2 linked regions of the Coturnix japonica genome follow. The protein of the gene in region 2 purifies or fractionates together with the protein of the main gene of each other region. This does not show direct contact. Links are inferred from orthologs where the notes say so. Each region holds a gene or a part of one and is shown on either strand. Other genes may lie near its edges.

What was found.
Region 1: the proteins of ATXN7L1 (region 2) and USP22 purify together in Homo sapiens (affinity purification with mass spectrometry; 3 studies listed by BioGRID and IntAct, with this or other methods). This does not show direct contact. The link is inferred for Coturnix japonica from reciprocal best matches to the Homo sapiens genes ATXN7L1 and USP22.

The regions. Positions count from the first base shown.
Region 1 is NC_029529.1:4,593,243-4,597,750, reverse strand, and holds the start of USP22 (ubiquitin carboxyl-terminal hydrolase 22), read right to left. Parts: upstream 2,921-4,508; 5' UTR 2,840-2,920; coding exon 2,714-2,839; intron 1-2,713. UniProt on the Homo sapiens protein: Deubiquitinase that plays a role in several cellular processes including transcriptional regulation, cell cycle progression or innate immunity.
Region 2 is NC_029516.1:12,700,754-12,705,006, forward strand, and holds the start of ATXN7L1 (ataxin-7-like protein 1), read right to left. Parts: upstream 2,999-4,253; 5' UTR 2,825-2,998; coding exon 2,710-2,824; intron 2,279-2,709; coding exon 2,210-2,278; intron 1-2,209.

The sequences.
Region 1 (4,508 bases), on a different chromosome or scaffold from region 2:
ACAGCAAAGCTCTGCCTATAACAGCACGTACAGGCACAAAGCTACAGCTCAGCCCCTGGATGGAGGCAGAACAACACACCAGTAGGAGAGCTGAAATCCCATGGAAGCAAACACACTCCTGAACCCTTCACCAGAATTCCAGCATTAACAAATGTACGCTCATAATTACCTCTTCCTTCTGATTGGGAATTCAAATACAGGTACAGGAAATGGCTTTCCGACTACAAACAGCGCTTTGCAGCTATTTTATTAAGAACTCTGGATGTGAAGAACGCTGTAATGAAGGCTACAGCTCATCAAGGCTTATTCTCAGCAAAGGTACGCATTAAAAACAAATAGCAAGCAGCAAGCAGTGTCAAAATGGTCTTCTAAAGCATAATGCAGTAAAGCAGTATAAGTAAAAGAGGAGCAGCAGACACTTTCTGCCCCCTGCAGTTCCTACTGCTATCTGGATTTATAAGGCAGCCCTAGGAGGGATAGAACATTAGCAACCCAGAGACCCAACAATTTAACATCTGGCTCCCAAGCACCAACAGCCCAAACGTTTGGGTTTGCTTGTTGTTTTACAGCTAGGTTCATCTGAATAACAGTTAAATTCATCAATGCTTCCATTAATGATCAGCTACATCTTGTGAATGTTTGCTGTGCCAAATGAAGGATGCAACCGCCCCTGGTTTTTGGAACAGAAATTGCGAATCACCTTCTATCAAACCTTTATTTGACCTCATTGCTTTGATTAGAGCTAAGAATGAGAATTCTCACCATGAATTAACTGGTCCATCACCACGTCAGGGCTGTGCTCCTTATATATACATACACACAGTATATATATATAAAAGACGATATATCATCTTATATAAAGGACAACGGGTTGCCTTTTAGTTATCCCACTATGTATCCGAAAACAGAAAACGCTGCTATGAAGTTTGAGATGTAAATATAGGATACACATGGACAGCAAGGAAAAATCCTGCAGGGGAAGGATTCACATCCATGTACAGCAGGTAAGCACCATAACTGTTCCCATACTTCCTTCTACCTTTATGAATATAAGAATTCACCACCAAATGCAGGTACCCAAAACACTTCCCTGTATGTGATGATTTACTCCCACACATCTCAGGTTGGTAGAACTCAGAATCCAACTATTTCCAGACTGGAAATCTGCTTAAAAACAAAAGGCATTTTTAGCACGTATCTGGTAAAAGGATGTTTTCGATGAGATGATTTCGCAACCACCCCGTTCTGCCTTATGAGCCTGCCTGTCCTAAGAGTGTCACGGGTTACAAAGAGGTAAAGGTGGGAGCACAGATTGATTACAGCAAGCAATTACTATGGCTTAAAAAACAGCTGGCAATAAATACATGCATCACTAGTGATAGATTCCAGAAGAAACCCAACCAACAGCAGCCCATGGCTGTAAGGGATGCTCCTCATTCAAAATAATGGAAGCTGAAGTGTTCATCTTACTGATGAATTCTGGGTTTCCTTCTGCCATGTAACACAAGCAATATTCCTCTGAGACACCTTCTTACCCCACTCCTTCAGCAGCACACGTATGTTAAGCCCCACGTATGCTGTACCATAAACCCATCCGTATGTTGACATACCAAAGGTTAAATGAAACCCAATTCTGCCTAACATACTCCATAACACTGTCTTGCAGTGCGTTAGGGATGCAGAACACAACTTTGGCTGTACATTGCAGCGCTCTCAAGCAAGCCACTAACTTGATCATTTTCCTTCGGATTCCATTTTTTCCTCCCTTGAAATAAAACAGGGGACTCCCAGAGAACACAAAGCTCACACAGAGGGGCCGCTCAGCCCTGCAGCACACACCTACAGCTCCAGAGTTACCCACAGCCCAACAGGCCGTCCCAGCCCGCAGTTCAGCCGCACTGTTTGTTGCAGTCCCCTCCTCGGCCATTACCATCACCACCGATAGAAATCTGCAAAGTCACTTATTAGTACAAACTAGTTGATGGCACGGAGGGCAGCGGGAGGCTCTGCTCGGGCTCCTCAGCATTGTGTGGATTGCCGCACACAGGTGGGACGGTCACGTCTGTCCTCATCGCAGCGGATTCCGGTGCTGCGCTGCGCACTGCGTGCCCCGAACGCTCGCACCCCCCAGCTCGCTCCTTCTATCCCCCTCCGTGCCCTCCGCACTCAGTTCCTGCTCTCCCCCCAACCCCCCACTCTACCCGGAATCCCATTTTGCAACCGGATGACCACCGATCTTCAAAGGAAAAAAAATATATATACACACACACATATATATATATATATAAATAAACAGCAGAAATGCCCTCGTCAACTCCCCCCAGCCTCTCCCAGCCATTGTGCCTCCTTCCCCCACCCCTCCCTGCGGCACAAAGCCCCGCCGCGGGTCGGGCCGTGCCCATCGCCCCGGGGCTCTCCCCTCCCCCTCCTCCCCTCCCCGCAGCCTCCGCCGCGTTCCGGGAACAGGGCTCCGCACCTCCGGGGGGCGGCGGCGCTGCGGAACGGCCCCGGGGACGGAGAAAGGGGGCAAGGCGGAGCGGGGCAGGTGGCGGCTCTGAGCCCCAGCGCCGTGCCCGCACCGCGGGGGCACCCGCAGCCAACATCCCACCTCCCACCCACCCCCACCACCACCACGACCGCGTGCCGGGAACCGCGGGCCCGACGAGAGGAGGGGAAGGGAGAGCAGGGGGGTGGATGGGGCCGCCCCCGGTACCTTGCGCTTCCTGGTCTCGGCCGAACCGCTCCACACGAAGCACTGGTAAATGGCCCTCAGGTTCTGCTTCCAGTTCTCCACCTTGAAGCCGGTCACATGGCAGCACCCGGCCGCCGGCGGACTCATGTCAGACCCCCCCACATCAATCCTCCCGCCGACGGGCCGGGCCGGCGGGCAGCGAGCCGGCCCCTTCCCCCCCTCGGCGGCGGCGGCGGCGGCGGCGGCCGCGCGGGCACGGGCGCGGGCACGACACGGGGCGGCCGCGCGCCCCCCACAGCCACCACAGCCACCCCACCCTCCCTCCCCGCCGCCACCGCCCTCAGGGGCTGCGGCCCCTCCTCACGCCGCCTCCCGCCGCCTCCGTCCCCGCGGGCAGCCGGGGGGCGGCGGGCACATAGAGCCCCCGGCTCCGAACAAAGCGCGGCGCTGGAGGCGGCGGGCGGCGCGCTCCCCTCCCTCTCTCTTTCCCTGCCTCGCACACAAAGATGGGGCTCGCTCTGAGGCGAAGGAGGAGGAGGAGGAGGCGGCTGAGAGAGCGGCCGCTGCCGCCCCCGGAGTGGCCGACGCTCCCTTCTACCTTCATAGAAGGCGGAAGGGAAAGAAGAGCGGGGGGGGGGGGTGGGCCTGGAAGCGGCAGCGGCGGCTCCGGTGCGAGCGGAGCGTGTGTGTGTGTGGGGAAGGGCGAGTCTCCGCCCGCCGCCGCTCCCTCTCCGCAGCCGGCCGGCCCCGCCTCGGTCTCCTCGTCTCTTTAAACCTCCCCCCCCCGCCTCCTTCGCCGTCTCCTTCCTCCTCCTCCGCTCTCCCCGCACTCCCCCCCTCCGCCCGCGCTGTGCGCTGCTCCGAGCCGCTCACTCAGCCCGGCCCGGAGTGGGACAGACCAACGGGGAAGGGGCGGTAGGTGCACCCCCCCCACTGCCCCGCCACCCGCGAGGAGGGAGACGGAGAGGGAGGAAAGAAGCGCTGCCATTGGTTCGCTCGCCTGTCACTCTGCTGCCGAAGCGCCCGTCTTTGGCGTCTCATTGGTTGATTTTCTTTTCTCCCCTCCCCCCTTCTCCCTCCACCCTTCCTCCCCAGTATTTCCCCCTGCCGGAAAGGGGCGGGAACGACTTATCGGATTGACGGGGCATCCGGCCAATAGAGAGAAAGGGCGGCACGTTCGCTAAGAATGCCTCGCAACAATTGGCCATCCCGGCCGTCAATCTCACTCCAAGCTGTGAGCGGATTGGCTGCGGTGGGCTGAGGGGCGGTTCCACCCAGCGGCCTAGGCTATGGGGGCAGCGGTGGTGTCACATCCGCTGATCGCGGCCGCTTCGCTCTTACCTCAGTGATTTCCTGAGGGGCGGCGGGGTGGCCGGGTCGCAGCCGGGGCAGAGCCGCCCCCCCGGCCTGGTAGAGGCCCGACACGGGAACCTCAGCCCCGGCTGAGGGTTGTGAGGCCGCAGCGGCCTGCACTGAGATGAGGCGGCTCGAGGTGGGCAGCGCTGTGGTGCAGCAGGCCGCGCTGTGTTGTGCTCCCATTGGGAGCACTGAGAAGGAACGAAAACACCCTTAAAAAAGAACCCCAGCACCAGAAAGAGCCTTAATGTGGCGTTCCCTATCAATAGCCCTACAAGGCAGTGAGAATATAGTGCTAAATGCTCGAATCCGTGCTCGGCTCTGGTGTGCTCCACATGCTGTGGGGTTGCATAAGAGTGGAGTGAGGCAAGAGGAGGAGATGGGAACGGAGCAGCTTCTTACACAACCCTGGCAGCAATGCAGTGTTGGTACACACTCATTGACACCCTCTTACAGCAGG
Region 2 (4,253 bases):
CTGACAAAACTCAGACGAACGTTAAAAGAAGCATGACGAGACCAGATTTTACATTGCCTTATTGAACAGGACCAGTACTATTAATTCTTGAATTCCTGTCCACCTGTTACCTTACACACAAAGTCTGATTTTTGCAAGGCATCACTCACAATCTCCTGGCACTGCAAACAGCATCGACTGCCTACTCGAACCTGTGAGATTGCAAAGCAGAAATGATTTGAGTTTGACATTAAGACCTACCAGGACCACAGCCCATGTCTACTAACAAACCCAACAAAAAATGTCAACATCACACAGAACATCGTGTGCAAGACCCCAGTAAGTGCACGAGTGATTCCACAAATATGCCAGCAATGCTTTTTGGGAAACGATCTAACTCTTCACATTTTTCCGCACCTTTATTGCTAAGGACAGCAGGGCTCAAGCAGGATCTACAGTGGGTGTTCAGACACACGGGTGGGTGTGGTGGAAGCACCTGTGTTAACAGAGCGTTCAGGTGAACATGGGAGAAGTATTTCAACACATACTCATTTATTGGAACTTTATGAAAGTTCTAAGTGATCCAAAGCAAGTTGCTACAAGGAAACAAAACAATTCCTACAGCTTTTTATTTGCTAAACGCAACAGTATTTTGTCAGCTTTTTTGTTTGTTTTAAACCATTCTGCAATGCAAGCCCCATAGAAGCAATAAGTAGTTCACACCTGTCACTATCAGTGATGACATTACACGTTTGAAATAATTTTTCTGGAGAGCAAGTTCAACTAGATCTCTCTTAATGGAGCCCGTGAACTCCCCAAAAACCAATAAAGGACTACAGCTCACCCCGTACACCGAACTGTTCTAAGAAATGATTTGCATATGGGTATGACTAAGGAGCAGTGATGCTCTTCGATCTTTACCTCTCAAATAACACCACAACAAGAATTTGTACTCTAGGACTTCTAGGTACAAAGCCAAGCAAAATAGTGGAGTTCTAGCAGGTAAGAATCAAGACAAACACAATCAAGCCTGGTACCTCCATCAATGCCTGTCAAAGTGGGGGTTCTACGTTATTCTTAATTTATCGTTATTTAATGCATATTCCATGTGATTCTATCACACAGATTTACTTCACTAATTAATTCATTCATTTTCAAGAGTCTGTTTATAGAACATAATATTCATTTAAGCTGTTGAGGTGCTCAAACTTAAATACGCGTGTAAAGGCAACAATACAGTACCAAGAACCTTTGAACCATTTCAGAATATCTATTCTGGTATGACAGGTGACGGTGGGATTTCTCTCAGCACCAGGAAATCACACAGAAGTCACACAATCACTTGTTAGGAACCAATTTCACAAGTATTTATCATGATGCCTGCAAGCACGTAGCGCTTCCTTAACAGAACAGAGTGAGCAGAACACCACACAAGAGCACGTCCCAAACCATCCCACCAGTTGCACTAGATGTTCCTCCAGCGCAATTTCAACAGTGCACATCACCAACAAGATGTGTCAGAGTGATTTACCTGTGCTGCCCAGTTCTTCCTCCAGCAGCTGACTGAACTAAGCCAAGCATGGCCTATGGGCAGGCATCATCAGTGTGGAATTTGCCTGTCCATACTTATGGGACCAGAGAACCCTCTGACCCAAGCGACCTATTGCATTGGGTTTTACACAATACACATCACTTAGCCTACTGTAAAGCAACGTCAGATGTTGGCTATTCAGTTGACTGCAAGTCACGTCCAGCAACAAGAATTAAAGAATAAAATGCAACTTGGCCTAAAGAGAACGCAACGATCATAAGGGACTGCTTCGGCAAACCAAATGCTCTTTGAGAATGTAAGTGTATATTAAAATACGACATAAGAGTTATCTGCCATGACACAGGGCTTGATCTGCTCATCTTCACATAGAAGCACGCGAAGCATTACATTGAGAAGGGACAGAGTCCTCAGCAAAAATCCAACATGGCCCCAACAGAGCCATCCATTGCCTTAGGATGACCCTGTCCCCCCTGTTGCCTTAGGATGACCCTGTCCCCCCTGTTGCCTTAGGATGACCCTGTTCCCTTACACACCTGCCACTCGCACACACCTCTGTGCCCACACCTCACATCACACCAACACCGCCACATCCACCTGCCCGACACCGGGCACTGCGGGGCCGCCTGCCACGGCCAGCCACCACCGACAGGTAGGGCGATGCTCTGGCCCCGCGCTCACCTTCTTTATTGAGCCTCATCACCTCCCTGCTTTTCGCACCCTCCTTTCCAGTCTCTTCCAGATCTGCACCTGCACAGGAGGAGAGGCACAGTCAGGAGCCGAGGCCCGAGGTGTGCACGCATTGTTCGGCGCAGAGGAGAGGTGAGGAGGTGCGCGGCTCGGCGCTCTGGGGCCCCCCCTTCCCTCCGCTTCCTTCCCCTTCCCGCAGCCGCTCCGCTCCGCGCATCCTCCCCCTCGCCCCCTTCCCCCACCGCGGCTCCGGCCCAGCGGCGCAGCCCGCTCTGCGGGGCCGGGCCCGCTCCTTCCTCCCGCACACACGGCACCGGGGCCCGGCGCGTCAGCTGAGCGCCCGGGGGGGGGCGGCACCTCCCGCGGCGCGGCCCGGCCCGGCCCGTGGGGGGCAGCGCGGGGTGTGGGTCGGCCGTGCCCCGGGCCGTGCGTGCGCTGCGGGGATGGGAGCGTTGCGCCGAGCCGAGCCGCGGGCCGGTCCCTGCCCTTACTGTGCGGGGGGGCGGCGCCGTGCGCGTGCGGGGGGGCGGCCTCCCGCACCCAGGCGGCCCAGGGCTGGCCCAGGAACGCCTCGGGACTGGGCACGGGCCGCTCCAGGGCCGCCATGGCGCCGCGCCTGCTCCTGCCTCCTTGTTGCTTTTCCCGTTTCCTTCGGCGGCGGCGGCGGCGAGCGAGCGAGCGAGACACGGGATTCGAGAACGCCGCACGTCATCCTCGGGACGTTCCGCCGCCCACACGGGGGTAGTGTCAGCCCCTGCTCCCTATCAGATCGGGCTCCCCGCCGCACAGCGCGCATGCCCGCGCCCCCCGCGCCTGCGCGCCGCGCCCCGCGACGCCGCCGTTCCCCGTTCCCCGGCCTGCAGCCCGGCACAACGCCCGGCACAACGCCCCCCGCCCGGCACGGAGCAGCGCGCGGTGCGGAGAGGAGCGAGGCCGTGGCGGAGCAGCGCCAAGGGAGGCAGCCGCCGGCCCGGCGCCCCGCAGTAAGTCCCCGGGACGCCTCTCGGCATCGCGGCCCCGCGGCGGCCCGGAGCGGGGCACGGGGCCGCCCTCCCCCGGCCGCCTCCGGCTGCGCGGCCACAGCCATTTTGTTGTCCGAGCACCGCTCGGGCCGTGGTCGCGTGTGGGCAAATGGTCTCGGTGGTGCCGGGCTGTGTGTGGGCTGCGGCGCTCGGCAGAGCTCCGGTCCCGGCCCTCTCAGGTAATGCCGAGGTCTGGTCTCGCTGCCTGCAAGCCACGGGACCCACGCGTGCTTCTTATTTTAGGCCTGTGTCATTGTTGGCTCAGTGCTTCACTAAGGTAAGAGCAGAAAATGTGCATCTGTGAAAAACACACACCCGTGAAAAAGATACGACTCGATAAATCGAATTCACGTGAAGGAATTACGGCATTAACCTAATGCTCACACCTACAAAGACACACACAAACACTGCTGAAGGTTACACAGCATTTCAGCAGCCCTGCTGAGGACACACGTAGCATCGCTCCTGGTGCTGGTCAGGGCCGTGGGCAGTGGGGTGCCCAGCCCTATGTCTGGGGGTGCTGAGGGCCTCCTGCCATCCCTTCCCCACTACCTTCCCCCTCCAGCCCCCAGTTAAGACCCTTTGTCACCATTTCCATTCCAACTCACTGTGAGTTATGGGACAGTGCTGAAACAGAGCATATTCTAGACTAAAACATAAAATGGCATGTAGTGCTGGCTTAAGGGTTCCAGCAGTGGCCAGAGAGGCAGGACAAGAGCTGCTGAAGGCAGCAAAGCAGCCTAGAGAAGGGTATGTGATACTAAAGCCTAAGACAGACTTAAGTACTTCTCTTACTATTTTATGGAGACTGGGCTCTTGCAGCACCAAAATGGATAAACGTTTTGGGCAAAGGACAAACACCCTTTGCCTCATATATGTTGTTAACAGACAGTATTGGATACAGGCAGTGTTCACACTCCACCTCTTCCAAAAAGTGGCTGGAATACGCAAGCCCCATCACTAATATCTGGAGGCAAGCCTAAAATCTTTCATACCATATGGCCTGGCCAGAG